Bombyx mori: one gene and its partner. Each later gene encodes a partner of the first gene's protein in a complex. Links are inferred from orthologs where the notes say so. Each region holds a gene or a part of one and is shown on either strand. Other genes may lie near its edges. The genes, in order: WASH complex subunit 4 and WASH complex subunit 3.

Region 1 (3,936 bases):
ATCTAAACACTCCAGTGGGTGTGTTGGTGTTGGAGTGTATCACAAACAGTACAACATAGTTCAGAAAATTAAATTACCTCCGGAATCATCGGTCTTTACCGGTGAATGTTTTGGACTATTAAAAGCTCTTGAATATGTGCTGTCTTTCAAACTAAAAAAAACCGTTGTATTTACTGATTCCTTAAGTGCATTACAGAGCTTAGCAAAATTTTCACTAAAACTTAACCCTTTTTTTCATGTAATATTTGAATGTAAGAGAAAGCTGTTGCACTGCCAATCACACAACTATTTAGTATCATTTTGTTGGGTACCTAGTCACTGTGGCATATCTGGAAATGTGAAAGCTGACAGTTTGGCCAACAGTGCTACTGTGACCGGTGACGTATACCCGTACAAGAATTTTGGCCATGATCTTGCTGCTTTGCCCGGCATATGCCTCCACAAATCGTGGAATATGTGTTGGGAAGAGAGCGGCCGGATTAAGGGTCGTTTCTTGTATGCTATACAGTCTTCCGTTCCCAGGAAGCCATGGTTTGCCAAATTGTCGTTTGGTAAAACCGCCACTTCTACTATAATTCGTATGCGTCTGGGACATAACAGCCTTCCAGTTCATTTGCACAAACTTGGTATCGTAACTGGTACCGCCTGTGAGTGTGGCGAGAGTTATTGTGACCTGAATCATATTTTCTTTGCTTGTTCTTTATATGATCATTCTTCCTTATATACTTCTTTAGTATCTGTCTCTGTTCCCCTTCCTACTAATATTTCTTTACTTCTTCGAGATTTTAATCCCCTTGTATATAGTATTTTAAGTAGGTTTATTTTAAATAATAACATTAAACTATAATTTTGATTTATTTTCCCTGTTATATAATTATTCTGATTTTTTTTGTAAATTCAATTCGTTCTAAATCATTTATGTTTTGTTGCGATAAGTTTCCTTCGTTTTTTATTATTTATAAACTGTAAATAAATAAAACGGCGAATTATAAAAACATTATTACTTGACGCTGGCTAATGCACAAAACGTGCCAGAGCCAAAAATAAAGAAGAAGAAGAATAAACATCAACAAAAAACATTTTAAACAGAATTATCGTAATTAATAGTCAACAAAAAGTACATAGTGATTATTTCTTTCAATATTATTTTAATCTGAAATACAAGTGCATAAAAATGAAAAGTGATTTCGAGAAAGAAAGTACAAGCAATATTTTAAAAAAATATGGCATATTTTTCAAGATGCAGTATCAGGTTTTGGCATTCAATTGCAATAATGAAATACTAGATGATAATAAAACATTTTTGCCGATTCAATTACTCATGAGTCCACACGAGCTCGTACCAATTACTGAGTTAGTAGTATCGGATAACACATTTATGACTAAAGTTTTGAGTGTGTTTACTTCCTTATGTGTTGAAGTAAATAACTTGAAAGAGGAAGCCTTTGAAAAGTGAGTTTTATTTATCGAGTTTCCGAAAATCCACAGTAATAATAGCTATGATTGAACTTTATAAAAATTCTCATTTTTATGAAGAAACATTCCACAGTTACGTCTAAGCAGAAGTGTAAACTTTTAATTATGCAAGTGAATGTAGCAATATTTTAATTGTGTTTCAGGTATTTTATCTACTTGGCTGCTTATGAAAAATATGAAACAGAAGATGTGAGTTCCCAGATGGAAATGATATGCTTACTCTGCGCATTTATCATTCGATGTGATGAAACTTTAAGAAACATGTGCAACCAAGTTTTTGCTTTGTTTTCCGATGGAACTGTTAATCTCAGTGAGTTTACTATTAATTATTTTTGTTCAATATTACATGGTTAAATTAGCATATTATTTTTTTATTTGATTAAATTTATGCTATCACTGAAAGTAGATAGCCCCGACATTAGTTGTAAATTTCGAATTATTAAAATGAAATTATTCATTAATGACCTTAATACTAACATGATATTGTAGATTGCATTCAACTACACTATATCATCAACCACATTGGAGAGATATTTACTATTCTTGTCTTACTTGAAATACTGATAGCCAATACTTCAATGCCCACAAATTGGAATAAATTTTGCAAAACATTAAAAACATACCATAACAAGAACTCGGCAGCTTTAGATATTACTGAAGAGAAATTTAATGCAATGATGGGGGCTATTAATAACATCACAGTCAAAATAATGAATGATGATATTGTACAAAAATCATTACAAAGTGTATCACTATTGAGAAAGAACTTGATTGACAAGAATTGTTCTATGATAGCAACAGAGTTTTCACACTACCTTAAACAGGGAATTATAAATTTGGACAAACTTGTACAGGAACAACCCAATGTTCGAAATATGTACAAATGTATTAAAATTAATAGTTTATTTGTATTGTCTTCACAATTGTTTGGTAATGTAGACAAGAAGATATTTAAGTCATTAGTGGAATTGAACACAAAGGTTGGTGTTAATTTTATTTATAGCAATTGTAACTTTTGTAACATTTACACATGGCACAGACAGAGAGCCAGCTGAAATGAATAAAGTTTATACAAACAGTCTTATTTTTCAGGCACACAGTGTTCATGTGATTGGAACAACTATGTGGTATCCTGAGCAATTTCTACAGAAACATGCCCCTGCACTTTGTGCAAAACAGGAAAAATTATCACAAACTATGTTGAAAACACGGCAATCGTATATCAATATGAAAAAAACTAGCCTATCTCGTGATATAATTAATCTTCAAATAGTATGTGGTCAATGGGTGTTAAATATTGAAGATTTCTTTTCTGCTGATCATCATAGGCTTAGTGCTGCTGAAATGAATTTACATTCCAGAACTCTTTTAAATGGCTTGGACCTAGCATCCAGAATCAATCATGAAGTTTTGACATTGATAAATTTACATCTTTCCCTTGGGATACCTCTTCCAAAGAGTATGTTAATGTTGGTATTTGAGATAATCAATATTTTAAAATCAATGCTGAATGCAATATCACGGCATAGAAGCCAAATAATTTTATCTATCAATATGGTCATTCAACATTTTGTATTCCAAGCAACATCAACAATATTAGAAGTAAAGAAATTATTAGTTTCAGACAAGAATTTCGCAAATAAAAGATTGGATGAACTTACATGCATCGTTATTGCAGAAAAAGCACTTCGTGGCGTAGCTACAATTGAACGAAATGTAGTAGCTAACACAGCACTGAGCTTTATACCTGAAAGTACTTATTTAGAAGACAGCTATGTAAAGCTTGGTTTGTTGTTAGAGAATGTTCAAACATTGACAAACTTGATGAAATCAATGGAAAGTTTTTGCAATTGCTCTTGGCTGTTCTGGCATCAGAACATATTTCCAATTTACTTTGATCAAAACTTTTCTATGCAATTGAGTACTTTAAAATTAAAATACTTCTTAATGGCCTTAGAAGACTGTACGGTGCTATTACATAAAACAGATAAATTATTTGATAGTAATATAAAAGAAGATTTTATGGAAACAGTTAAAAAGTACATGGAACAAAAATTTATCAAAGGTGCAAGTCAGAATATTGAAACAAATTTACGATTGCATATACATTCACATCTTCAACTTGATGTAATCAATCCATTTACTTTTGAAATGGTAAAAAAATTGCTTCTAGCAATTAATACTTTTAGAGTTCAGTACATTTACATGTGTGTTGTGCCATCAGTTGAACACTATCTTTCAACAATGTTCTACAACCTAACTACCGTTGTATTATCAGATTGGAAAACTTATGGTGAAATGAGACAAATGGCGAGACTAAAATTCAATTTAAAAACGGTTCAAGATAATCTCCCAACTCAGACTCTGGAGCAGGGCCTAGATATACTAGAGATTATGCGCAACATTCATATATTCGTTTCGAAGTATCTTTACAATCTAAACAATCAAATATTTATTGAA
Region 2 (3,936 bases), about 9.8 Mb from region 1:
TACAAATCGGTTTATTCTAAAGGTGAAATTATTCCATTTCGAAAAAGGAAGTCCTTCGAAATAGCATACATGTTCAAGAAACAACGAAAAAAAAACATTTTTATATAAATCTCTCAGCGGTGACTGCGCATTTTGAAGCAGACGAGAATATAACCCACATTTGTGAAGTGTGGTCGTTCAGACCAGCAATACCAAAATGATTATTGAATTTCTTTCTCTAGATGTCAAAGCTAAAGCGATATGAATCTTTGTTGTAAAGGAAATGGTCCAAGAATTAAAAAAAGTAAGGTTATCATAATACTTACAGCTTCTCTTACTCCAGGATCGTCATATCCTTGGTCTATATATGGTAATGCATCTACGACAACTTCTCCTGCCATTTTCTACAAAATTTATAACTCCCTTTACTACGAATGGGTACTGTGATTTATCACTTTATATTAAAGTTTTAACGCTGTTCTTTGTTTATTTGATTTTAGTTGTGTCACTTGTGTGACATTCTTCGTTTGAGCTAGTTTTAAGCCTAAAATGAACAGGCAAAAGAAATATAGTCCATATAGCTAAATCTTTTGAATTCCTCGATATTCAATAAATTGATATTAAATTAATATTATATTATAAAATGGAATTTAATGAAAGAAGAACACATCGAGTAGATATTAGATGAGTTGATAATGAAACAATGGTGCTTACTGAGAGATCAACGAACTTATTTTGAAAATATTCTCGAGTGGCAGCCACACACGACGCAGCTTAGATAGACTTTCGACGAGGTGAACTGACGTCCTACTGAAAGTCGCAGGAATCTAATAAATACGGTCGCTGCACGTCTAGGAGTGGATGATTTGTGTGAACACGTCCAATGTTTGTTTGATTTTTTAAAACTTGTGCCATTTCACATGTATTCAGTGATTAAAAAGCTTTCATTACTACAAAATTAGACATTTTATTACAGATACATTCGCGAAGCAGTTGCCCTTAGCTGTTAGATCTCCTACGGAGTCGTGGCCAGGTCAGGCCTTCGGTACTTTGGAGGATTGGCTTGTGCGGCTTTTCGAAGCCTGCCTTGAGCCCGGACGGAAATCGGACAGATTCATCCTTCTGAGGAAAGAGGAGCTCCTCTAGGAGTCATCCGTGGTGTACCACCACATCGTGTTGCTGGACGAAACTAGAAAATTGTTGGAGCAAGTCGTGGATGCGTCATCTGCCCCATCCCCAGGACGGGTTCCAATCGGTCAGCCGAACAGTACGGCTTCAGAAAGGGCCGGTCTACCATCGACGCAATCATGCGTGTGTGTACCCTCTTTGATGAGACTGTTGCCCGGGGCGAGGTGGCAGTTTCCTTAAAGTCTCAGTAAATAACCATCATTTTACTTAGATTTCACGCCAATTGATTATTGTTTCAAATTAATCAACTCTATTTCATTTTACTTCATATTATCATTTTTCATAAAATACAATGATAACTTAGGCTGTATCGTATGATACTTTTGCCTTTCCAGTTGGAAAAATAGAACTACTACAAATATTGACAGTGGACAGTAGCACTATTGTCAAAGAATAGTGTTATATTGATAAATGTAAATTAATGATAATAATGTCAGACTTAGGTGGTGGTACCGTACCTACTGTACCTACTGAAATATTCCTTTTAATTTGCTTACATACTCTTTTAACGTAAATAAATAGGTACGACTGTCACGGAAGGAAAAAGATTGTTATTGTAAAATAATTAGGTGCTTTTTATATTAAACTTAGTGTAATTAAAACTCGTGGACCTATTAGTCAATGTATTGAAATGTAATTCAATTTGGTTTTTTCAGTAGAACAAAACAAATTCAAGCTTCCAAACCACAAGACAAATTTCTTTTTCGTCTTGTTTATATTCTACTGAAAATGACCATCCAAGAAGATTTAACTCAATCCGAATCCCCACAAACGGATTTAACTAAGGTTTTAAATTTGGAATTATTATTATTTGTTGTAAAATTTAATGCAGTACAAACTTCACGGCCTTGATTATCTTTATAAACTTCCTAATTCTAGAAAACACAATATTTTTTTATAAATGAGAATAATTTATTTTTAATATTTAAAAAACAAATTGCAGGTTGCGGCATTACATCAAAAACGTACATTGGCATTTGTAAATCATTTCCTAACAATAAATGTACAATTTCTGAATAACTTTATGACGAATTGCGAGCAGAAACTGATGCAGTTTGAGAGAAAATTAGAAAAAGTTAATGCTGCCATGGTTTTGTTAGAATCTAAGGTGATTATATTTTTATAAATTATTGTATGTAAACAAAAACGGATATCTAAAATGTTTTTATTTTCTATCATTAGTCATAATAAACCATTTCTGCAAGACCTTCTCTGGAAAGCTGTTGATTGATCTGATAAAGTAAGAGCAGCCTATTGATATATTTGCAATGCATAAAGCTTCAATTGAATTAAAAAAAAAACGGTCTCCTACCAGATTAGAAATTAGACTACTACTAATTTTAAGATATGGCATCATTGCATTTCACCATAATCCTTATTCAGGTTGTGTTTATGCCATTTCTTTAATTGCCCATGTGCCTCAAAAACTTCATTTTAATTGATAGCATACATCAAACCGATACATAAATAGATAAAACTTATTGATTTCAGTTATCTTCAATACCAGAATTAGACATTCCTAAGCAGACAAATACAAGTAATGTTACAGAGACTGAATCTACTGAAAGTCAAAATGAAACAGAACTCCAAGAAGAAAATCTAGAAAGAAAACTAGAAGACCAAGCCCCAGCAGAAATGAAAACTAAACCTGAATATGATAAATTTGTTAAAATGGTTCAAGTAGGAGTGCCATTGCAGGCAGTGAAACTCAAAGTCTCGTTAGAAGGTCTCGATCCTGAAATACTGGAGCAATTAATAAAATAAAATAATATTTTATTATTTACATTATTGTGTTGTTAGCATAGTATGATCAAATAACCATAGTGTGTAAACCATAGTTTACTTTTATAGAACAAACAATAGAACAGTGTATTCTGTGATACCTCTAATCTAATGGGATCATAAGTGTAAAATTAATAAAATAAAATAATATTTTTTTTTTGTTTAATTGTAATCAACGTATAGTTTAGAAAATATTATCTTTTATCTATAAAAATATCATTCTAATTGTTAAAATTGTAATGTTTTTGTTCTTATCGTTTTAAATAATGTAATAGGCTCAAATATTTAAGTAGCATTCCTTAATATTTTTATGAAATGTTGAAAATGTTGTTTTTAATAAAGGATTTTATAATCATGCAAGATTATTGATCACATAGAGGTGGACCTAGAAAAAAATCATTAAATACTTCTGAAAGTTGATATATGCTTACTATTTTAATTAATTTATTTTGTGAAACATGTTGTATGCGATTTATTCCTTTTTTTGCAAATAAATAGTATTCTTATAGGGGTAGTAGGTGTATTGATTTATGAGAGATTTATTTGACGTAAAATTGGCCATGTCAGTTAGATTGTGTACAATCATGCTACAGAGATACTATTATATTATATTCTAGTAACAATAATAGGCACCTATAGGCATCAAATGTTGTACCATCCTAAGTAATTGCAGAAATAGTTCTCTGCCAGCACCCTGATAATAAATAAAAATAAGGCTGGCCATACCATTAATATTTTTATGAGACATATTAATTAATGCTAAGCATGATTTTTTTATTCCTACTCATAGAAGTTATAGTTATAGTATTACCATACGATGTGGATGGTAATAAAGTATAGGTGCAATAAATGGGAGGTTTTAAGGATGCATCTGGTCCAAAGTGGTGACCTTGATTACATATTGATAAAGTTCTTAGAGCAAAACCAAATTAATCTGAACTTTTTGTCGAGTATCCAATAAGATGCTAAAACAAACTCATATTTTCT

Evidence for each region.
Region 2: WASH complex subunit 4 (region 1) and WASH complex subunit 3 share a complex: the UniProt entries of both Homo sapiens proteins name them as parts of the WASH core complex. The link is inferred for Bombyx mori from reciprocal best matches to the Homo sapiens genes WASHC4 and WASHC3.

What each region holds. Positions count from the first base shown.
Region 1 is NC_085118.1:10,740,202-10,744,137, reverse strand, and holds the start of WASH complex subunit 4, read left to right. Parts: upstream 1-1,174; coding exon 1,175-1,452; intron 1,453-1,619; coding exon 1,620-1,786; intron 1,787-1,965; coding exon 1,966-2,456; intron 2,457-2,568; coding exon 2,569-3,936. UniProt on the Homo sapiens protein: Acts as a component of the WASH core complex that functions as a nucleation-promoting factor (NPF) at the surface of endosomes, where it recruits and activates the Arp2/3 complex to induce actin polymerization, playing a key role in the fission of tubules that serve as transport intermediates during endosome sorting.
Region 2 is NC_085118.1:943,022-946,957, forward strand, and holds WASH complex subunit 3, read left to right. Parts: upstream 1-1,540; 5' UTR 1,541-1,689; exon of another isoform or gene 1,690-1,736; intron 1,737-1,823; 5' UTR 1,824-1,896; coding exon 1,897-1,953; intron 1,954-2,110; coding exon 2,111-2,275; intron 2,276-2,658; coding exon 2,659-2,931; 3' UTR 2,932-3,304; downstream 3,305-3,936. Other genes in the region: pre-mRNA-splicing factor SPF27, read right to left, coding at 306-380. UniProt on the Homo sapiens protein: Acts as a component of the WASH core complex that functions as a nucleation-promoting factor (NPF) at the surface of endosomes, where it recruits and activates the Arp2/3 complex to induce actin polymerization, playing a key role in the fission of tubules that serve as transport intermediates during endosome sorting.